Linked DNA regions of Oryza sativa Japonica Group. The protein of the gene in region 1 interacts with the protein of each later gene in a pairwise test. Links are inferred from orthologs where the notes say so. Each region holds a gene or a part of one and is shown in the gene's direction. Other genes may lie near its edges.

Evidence for each region.
Region 2: the proteins of protein ACCUMULATION AND REPLICATION OF CHLOROPLASTS 6, chloroplastic (region 1) and cell division protein FtsZ homolog 2-1, chloroplastic interact in a two-hybrid assay, tested with the Arabidopsis thaliana proteins (3 studies listed by BioGRID, with this or other methods). The link is inferred for Oryza sativa Japonica Group from reciprocal best matches to the Arabidopsis thaliana genes ARC6 and FTSZ2-1.

Annotation. Positions count from the first base shown.
Region 1 is NC_089036.1:1,186,653-1,190,980, reverse strand, and holds the start of protein ACCUMULATION AND REPLICATION OF CHLOROPLASTS 6, chloroplastic, read left to right. Parts: upstream 1-1,378; 5' UTR 1,379-1,433; coding exon 1,434-1,733; intron 1,734-2,114; coding exon 2,115-2,345; intron 2,346-2,448; coding exon 2,449-2,673; intron 2,674-2,838; coding exon 2,839-3,099; intron 3,100-3,196; coding exon 3,197-4,061; intron 4,062-4,295; coding exon 4,296-4,328. UniProt on the Arabidopsis thaliana protein: Component of the plastid division machinery consisting in a binary fission accomplished by the simultaneous constriction of the FtsZ ring on the stromal side of the inner envelope membrane, and the ARC5 ring on the cytosolic side of the outer envelope membrane.
Region 2 is NC_089037.1:25,859,320-25,863,904, forward strand, and holds the start of cell division protein FtsZ homolog 2-1, chloroplastic, read left to right. Parts: upstream 1-1,767; 5' UTR 1,768-2,104; intron 2,105-2,208; 5' UTR 2,209-2,292; coding exon 2,293-2,859; intron 2,860-2,949; coding exon 2,950-3,249; intron 3,250-3,381; coding exon 3,382-3,472; intron 3,473-3,972; coding exon 3,973-4,097; intron 4,098-4,585. UniProt on the Arabidopsis thaliana protein: Exhibits GTPase activity which converts GTP ligands to GDP.

The DNA of each region.
Region 1 (4,328 bases):
CTCGTTTTTTATGCTTGGTTCTCAAGACTGCATATTAGTTCACCCACAAGGTAATGAGGTAAATCATAATGACTTTAATTACGTATGCCCGGTGCATTTTCTGTAGAGATAAGTGATTCACATATTGTTGTCATCTGTAACTTGAGCTTGAGAAAATGGACATGGATAATCAACTCTTAAGGGTCCCTTTTTCTCTCTTATGGATTATGAATTACCACGAACACACTTCGTAAGTTTTTATACAGTGTAATTGTTGCAAAAGTTTTCTATATATGAGTTTCACTCTCCTATAATATTTTCTAAAACAATATTTTTGTTTTTTAATAGTTAATCCGTTCGTTTGTCGTCAAGTATTATTACTGTGAAGTAATATAACTCATCATCAATTTATCCATTGACCTGAAAAGAACTAGCCCCCAAAAATCTAAATTTAAGCCAAAAAAAACATTTGAAACATGAGAGTTTGATGGTTTGCCACTTTTTAGATGGAGGATTTGATGATATCCCATCATAGCCCAACATCGTCAACTTTGTGGGGTGGGGGAGGGGGTATATCCTTGTCACTTGGTAGCATTGTAATCTAAAAAGTGTCAATCAACATGCTTAAACTGATCAGCCAAAGTTGCCTTTAAATGACTTGATGAAGGATCTCTTGCTTATATTTGGTTGAAACTTGAAAGCCTTTAGTCTAATTAGCAAGATGATGGGCTTTGGGTAAAAAGCTTCAACCCAAACAACCATTCGATAAGAACCTTGCTTTTAAACAAACCAAAACTGATTACAACTTTAAACAAGCCTTTCCACTTTCACACCCGACTCCAAACCAGTAAAAAACTTGGCTCTTAAACAAAGTCTAGCCTTTCCTCATATGCCTGTTAGCTTATTAAATATAACCAAAATTTAAAATCCGAGACTTAAATCTGTAGTCTATTTTTGAACATGAGGTTATAATGTGTTGTTTGTTTGCATCTGATTGATTGAAAAAAAATCCCTTGTTCTTTACGCGCACGCTTTCTGAAGTTTTAAACAATATATTTTTTTATTATTTTTTAAGTAGGAACGTTGTTTTTAAAATCATATTAATCTATTTTTTACTATAAAATAATTAATACTCAATTAATCATGCACTAATGACTCACTTCGCTTTGCATATCTCCTTAACCTTCTTCTTTCCTCTCCTTTCAAACACACCCTAAAATATTAGACTTAGCAAGATTAGTTTTGAAATTGGTGTCTCAATACTGGACCTAGCAAAATCTCCCAAAGTGCCCAAGTCTCCAATCATGCACCCAGATCATCCAGCAACAAGAAAACAACAGCAAAAAAAAAAACAAGGGCCAAAGCCAGCAAGGCTCCCCCTCTTCTCCCCCTCACTCCTAAAACCTCTCTCTCCTCCGCCCCCTCCATCTCCGCCGCCGCCGCCGCGGCGGCTAATGGAGGGCTTCCACAACCTCCTCGCCCGCCCCAACTCGGCGCCATTCGCCTTCTCCCTCCCTCGCCCGCGCCCGCGCCCGCGCCGCAGGCCGCCGCCTCACCCCTCCGCTGCCTGCCGCGCCGCGAGCCGCTGGGCCGAACGCCTCTTCGCCGACTTCCACCTCCTCCCCACCGCCGCGCCCTCCGACCCGCCGTCCCCGGCCCCGGCCCCGGCCGCCGCGCCCTCCGCCTCCCCCTTCGTCCCGCTCTTCCCCGACGCCGCCGAACGCTCCCTCCCGCTCCAAGTCGATTTCTACAAGGTGAGGCCCCGTGAATCTGCTGCGGTTTGTTCATCATTTGGACCTCGGAATATCATCCCGTAGATAAAAAAAAGCGCATGATTCTTGCCTTCTTGGTAGGTGATGATACATTGTCACTGCTAAATCGTTGAAACGTTATTCCACCTGCAAGTCTTTTGCTAGGTTACTGATCCCTCAGTTCCATGAAATCGAGTTATTTGCTATTTCCGTAGTGTCACTTCACTAGGTTATTAACTGACTACAATGCCGAATCCATCGCATTTGTGATCCACTGCATACTATGATACGAATTATGCCTATATCATGTGTGTGTGGGGCTAGTGAGAGATCATGCCTTTTTGACTATTTCCGAAATGTTTTGTTGAATCTGGCTTTGCTCAGGTTCTAGGGGCAGAGCCACATTTCCTTGGCGATGGCATCAGGAGGGCGTTCGAGGCACGGATAGCCAAGCCACCGCAGTATGGCTACAGCACGGATGCTCTTGTTGGTCGTCGACAAATGCTGCAGATTGCCCATGACACTCTCATGAACCAGAACTCCCGCACTCAGTATGATCGTGCGCTTTCTGAGAACCGTGAAGAAGCTCTCACCATGGATATTGCTTGGGACAAGGTGAGGCTTTAGGGGGCAGCAAAGGGTGTGTTTGGATCTTGTCAAATAGCACTAGTGTATAATCTCTCTCTGCTTATAATATATTGGGTGTCTTGTGAAGCAGGTTCCAGGTGTGTTGTGTGCGCTTCAGGAGGCTGGGGAGGCACTTGCTGTGCTTGTAACTGGAGAACAGTTGCTTCTGGATCGGCCACCCAAGCGCTTCAAGCAGGACGTGGTGCTAGCGATGGCTCTGGCTTATGTGGATCTATCAAGGGATGCTATGGCAGCAAGCCCTCCAGATGTAATTGGCTGCTGCGAGGTGCTCGAGAGGGCTCTCAAGCTCTTGCAGGTGAACTGTTTGCTTTTTTACTCCCTACTTTTTCATTGGGCTTATATTTGAATAGGATAAGATTAAATAACCCTGTGAAGATTGGTTTGGGACACATGGGCTATATTTTTTTAATAAGAATGGTGATTTCCTTGAAGCAATATTAATAGGAACTTCATACTGTAGGAAGATGGAGCAAGCAATCTCGCACCTGATCTGCTTTCACAGATTGATGAAACTCTCGAGGAGATTACACCTCGCTGTGTATTGGAGCTTCTCTCCCTTCCTATTGACACAGAGCATCATAAGAAGCGCCAAGAAGGGCTTCAAGGTGCGAGAAACATTTTGTGGAGCGTTGGCAGAGGAGGTATTGCTACCGTTGGAGGAGGATTTTCTCGTGAAGCCTTCATGAACGAGGCTTTTTTGAGGATGACATCAATTGAACAGGTTCGTACATGTTTGTTTTTATGAAGCAGCTGCCTATTTATATTGCAGGAGCACATCTTTGAAAACATGTTAACTCCCTTTCTGTTACACCTCCCAGATGGATTTCTTTTCAAAAACACCGAATAGCATTCCTCCTGAATGGTTTGAAATTTACAATGTAGCACTTGCACATGTCGCTCAAGCAATTATAAGTAAAAGGCCACAATTCATCATGATGGCGGATGATCTTTTTGAACAACTCCAGAAGTTCAACATAGGTTCTCATTATGCTTATGATAATGAGATGGACCTTGCATTGGAAAGGGCATTCTGCTCATTGCTAGTCGGAGATGTTAGCAAGTGCAGAATGTGGCTTGGAATTGATAATGAGTCTTCACCATACAGAGACCCCAAAATTCTAGAGTTTATTGTGACCAACTCTAGCATCAGTGAAGAGAATGATCTTCTTCCAGGGCTGTGCAAGCTTTTGGAGACTTGGCTTATCTTTGAGGTTTTTCCTAGGAGCAGAGATACTCGGGGCATGCAGTTCAGACTTGGAGATTACTACGATGATCCAGAAGTTTTAAGCTACCTAGAAAGGATGGAGGGTGGTGGTGCTTCTCATTTGGCTGCTGCTGCTGCTATTGCAAAACTTGGTGCTCAAGCTACAGCTGCACTTGGTACTGTGAAATCAAATGCTATTCAAGCGTTCAACAAGGTTTTTCCATTGATAGAACAGTTAGACAGGTCAGCCATGGAAAATACTAAAGATGGCCCTGGGGGATATCTTGAAAATTTTGACCAGGAAAATGCACCTGCTCATGATTCGAGAAATGCCGCCTTGAAGATTATCTCTGCTGGCGCACTGTTTGCACTGTTGGCAGTAATTGGGGCCAAATATTTGCCTCGTAAGAGGCCCCTTTCTGCTATTAGGAGTGAGCATGGATCTGTGGCAGTTGCTAATAGTGTCGACTCTACTGATGGTGAGTAAATGCTTTTCATTTGCTAAAGTAGTCAAACAACACTGGAATTTACTGCTCACGTGTTTACTGGGTATCCTTGTTGGCTGATTACAGTATGTTCTTGATCTTATAGCTTTGCATTAATGTTTTAACAAAGCTATACATCAAATATTTTTGTCTCATACATACACAATGCTACTATAATTCTGTAATGTATATCATAGAGAGTTAACTTTTGCATGATGAATGTTGAAGATCCTGCACTAGATGAAGATCCAGTACATATTC
Region 2 (4,585 bases), on another chromosome or scaffold:
GCCGTCAAAGACGGGGATTCGAGCTAATAACATGGCTAGAGGAAGATTCAAGCAAGGAGCACGTTGGGATGCCACCGCCATCGCTCTGCTGCGCCGAGAAGAAGGTAAGGGAGAGAAAGCGAGTGAGGGGTAGGGAGCAAATAAGAGCATCTCCAACAGCCTCCTTATTCCCCTCTCCAAGTTAAATTTGGACAATTTTGGCTCAATTTCACCCTCCAATAGACTGGCTATCCGGATGGCCAAGCCATCTGGCTGGCCAAAGTCCTCCTCCCACTGGCCAAATTTGGCCAGCCAAAATAGCCTAGCCAATCGTGGGCCCCATGCCAACAGCATCCCTCTCCCCCTTTCTCTCTCCGCTACCACGTCGTCGAGATGCCATTGCTGCAGTTGAGGTCGTCGTTGCCGGACGCCGCCGCCGTCGGCGCAGTCGCCGTCACCAGATCTGCTGTTGTTGGGCGCCGCCGTCGTCGCGCCGTCGCCAGATCCTCGAGGGCGTCGTTGCGCCGTTGCCAGCCGTCGTCGGCGCCTCGCCAACCGTCGTCTCCGAGGTGGTCGTTGGCTGGCGTCGCCATCGTCATCGCCAGATCCGTCGCCAGCCGAGGTTGCCGTCCACTACCGTCGTCTCCGAGGTCAGCCCAAGCAGTGGCGGCGGCGGATGGCGAGCGGCGAATGGGGATGGGGCGGCGGTGGCGGATGGCGAGCAGCTGATGGGGATGGGGTGGCAGCAGTGGCGGTGGCGGATGGCGAGCGGCGGATGGGGATGGGGTGGCGGCGCTGGCGGATGGGGATGGGGATGGGGCGGCGGCGGCGGAGAGGACCAGCTCTCACCTACTGCGAGCTGAGCAGAGGGGCTTGGGGAAAAGGAGGAGAAAGATGAGGAGGAAGAAAGGGTTGTAGAGACTGACACGTGGGTCCCACTGTCATAGGTTTAGAATAGAGAAGATGAATGGAGATGCTGTTGGAGTAAATAAGAGTTTGACTGGCTAAATTAGATGGAGAGTTGGCCAAATAGACATTTAGAGAGTTAGATTTGGAGAGACTGTTGGAGATGCTCTAAGAGAAAGATGATATGTGGACCCCCCCCCACTTTATTTCTTAATTTTTTTAATAGTAGTGCTGCCACGTGGACGGCACATCAGCGAAAACCGTCTTAATAAAAAGGAGAGAGCGATTTTAATAGTTGGGGCTATCGTTATACCCCGAGTTTTATGATCGAGGGAGATGAATGAGATCTGACCATTAGTTAAGGGAGTCAGAGTGAACTTATTCCTCTATCAGCAGGGTTCGTTCTGATGATTCATATAGGCCCAGGACGCCCAGGATTTGACGAGGGCCACTTTAATTGCTCCAGGAGCGGAACTTGAGCCCATTCATTTTTATTCCGGGTGAGGAAGATGGGCCGGTCCCCGTAAGGCTTGAGGCCTTGTGGGCCGCTTCATCATCATCGATCTATTATGGACGTACAGTAAAAGGTCAGTCAGTCCCGGGCTCTCGCCCGGTCGGCGACTATGGACGTTTCCGCTGGATCCCTTTGCTCCTCCGAGGGAACCAATGGAGACGGTCCAGACGGAGACACCCATCGATCCGCCACCATCAGCAGAGGACGGCACACGAAACCAGCCAATGCTTTCGCTGTCCATGGGCCTCGCCCGCCTGGCACCTTGTGGCATCGCATGGCGTTGGCGTCACCACCCCGCTCTCGGCCTTTCCGTTTCTGCCTCTGCTGCCCACAGCCACCTTCCTCCCGTGCGTTGTGTTGTGCGTGCCAGATTGGTAGTAGTAGGCTGGTAGTAGCGCAGCGGTAGCCTCCTTCGTTATCCCCAAACCCCGCGCCGACGGGCGTCCTCCTCACCGACATTTCCTCCCACCCCCGCGCGCGCCCCGCCGCCTTTCTCGAACCTCCGCCGCATTCTTGTCACCTTGTTGATTCTTCATTCTTGATTTGTTCTCCTTTTTTTTTTGGTGATTTTGTTGTTTCTTGGCCTGCTACTGTTGGCGGCGGCGAGCGGTGGTCACCGGCCGTGCGTTCCCTTCTTTCTCCTCAGCCCTCGGCTCCCCCGCCGGCCGGACACGCCGCCGGAGCTGAGTTGTTGAGGTTTTGCAGGTATTGGTGATAAACCCTAGTATAGTTCGCTTGGGTTCTTGGGGATTTCCCTCCTCCTCCTCTTTGCTGCCGATCTAATCCAAATCTTCTTTCCCTTCTTCCAGGGAAGGGATACACTCCGATCCCCAATGCCCCGCGTTTGGTCCGCCCCTGCATCCTCCTCCACAGATTGCTAGGCTTCACCGGAGATGATGGCGGCGCCGCAGCTACCGTGCTGCACTCGCCTCGCTCCGCCGTGTCCCGGGAAGGCGGCGGCGGAGGCAAGAACCCTGGCACGTTCACGGTTCAGGTGCTGTGCGGGGGCCGCGAGGCCTCGCTCGTTCCAGAAGAAAGACTCCTTCCTGGACCTCCACCCTGAGGTGACCCTCCTCCGCGGCGGCGACGAGGCGGCCGTCGTCGCCACGAGGAAGGGGTCTCCGAACGGGAGCCCGCTGGAGGGGCTGGGCGCGCCGCCGGATCACTGCGATTACGACGGGGCCAAGATCAAGGTCGTCGGGGTCGGCGGAGGAGGCTCCAATGCCGTCAACAGGATGATTGAGAGCTCCATGAACGGCGTCGAGTTCTGGATTGTGAATACCGATGTGCAGGCGATAAGGATGTCGCCGGTCCTTCCGCAGAACAGGTTGCAGATTGGGCAGGAGCTGACTCGGGGTCTAGGCGCAGGTGGAAACCCTGACATTGGGATGAATGCGGCGAAAGAAAGTGTCGAGTCCATTCAGGAAGCTCTTTACGGTGCTGATATGGTTTTTGTCACGGTAAATGCTTCCCCCTAGATGGTCTCTTGACTTGTGAAATCATCATACATTGAGGTATGTGATAATAGTCTTTTGGTGTCCAAACTGCAGGCTGGGATGGGTGGAGGCACTGGAACTGGAGGTGCCCCTGTAATCGCTGGAATTGCCAAGTCCATGGGTATACTGACAGTTGGCATCGTGACGACACCATTCTCATTTGAAGGGAGGAGACGGGCAGTTCAGGCTCAAGAAGGAATAGCAGCCTTGAGAAATAGTGTGGACACCCTCATTGTCATCCCAAATGACAAGCTGTTGTCTGCTGTTTCTCCAAATACTCCAGTAACCGAAGCATTCAACTTGGCTGATGATATTCTTCGACAAGGAATTCGTGGTATCTCTGATATTATCACGGTAAGATAATGTCTGCATATAACTGCATTGGTTTGGTAGTGAAAGTTGGAATGCGGAAGTATGATGTGGATTAATTGAGCATTTCAGTGCTATCTAATTTGTATAAAGTTAACGGACTCTTCTCCTTTGCAGGTTCCTGGGTTGGTTAATGTTGATTTTGCTGATGTTCGAGCCATCATGCAAAATGCAGGCTCATCCTTGATGGGTATTGGAACGGCTACAGGTATTGCATTTGGACAAGTTTTATCTATGTATTTCTTTAATTTGTCTTTTGGAATTGTGCTTTCTGGAATTAGCATAAACCATAATACGTTATGATCCAACTCCCTTCTTTCTGTATTTGCTCTTTTCTGGAATTAGCTCTTCCTTGATGTTCGAGTAGTTTTCCCCGCAAAGATTCCACTTGGTAATTATTTCCCTATGTTAATAAGTATGTCTACCTTTTCTTTTTCTTACATTGGTCTCATTATTTCTCTTATGGAGAAATCTAAGTGGAAAGTGCAACAGGTTCTTGTATTGTGAAGGGATTATGCAATAGAGACAAACAAATCAGTAAAAGACATTAATTTTTTTTATACGAAGTAACCAATGGATGATATATGACAAGGGGAGTTATGAATTATATAGTACATTGTGATGTTTTGTTGTTTCCACAGGGACCATACATAGCTTAGATTGAATTTTACCCATATGTTTATTTAGCATGTTATTATAAATTTTCAGGGAAGTCAAGAGCAAGAGATGCTGCTCTTAATGCCATTCAGTCACCACTGCTAGACATTGGAATTGAAAGAGCTACAGGCATTGTGTGGAATATCACTGGGGGAGCTGATATGACTTTGTTTGAGGTTTGGTTAATCTTTTTCTAGTATGTTTGCATCATATTTTCTGTATGTTATCATGCATCTAACATAACATGAATAACAATCAGCTGAAAAAGGAAATGTTAGGAGACAGCAACTGCAATTCTTTTTTGTTTGTATGTGATAGTGAAATGTTGCTATATTATTCACTCTACAGCATACATACTGCTGATAAGTGTGGTTGAGTAGCTAAATTACCTTCCAATCTACCATGGGGCTATATTTCAAATGCTTGCTTGATTTGAAGCTCTATCTTTCAGGCTTTACTTGGTTGATTTTCAAATAGCCCAAGTGACAGGCTGAAACACTGATTCCCTGTTACAGTACTACATGTAACACAATCTTCTTTAGTTAGTTCAATGCATCAATGTGTTCAACTTAAATGGTTGATCAAATTTTGGAAGTCTGTAAGTGGCATGATAAACCACTGTCTTGGATCTTTTTACACCATAGGTCTGTCACTCTATCGCCTT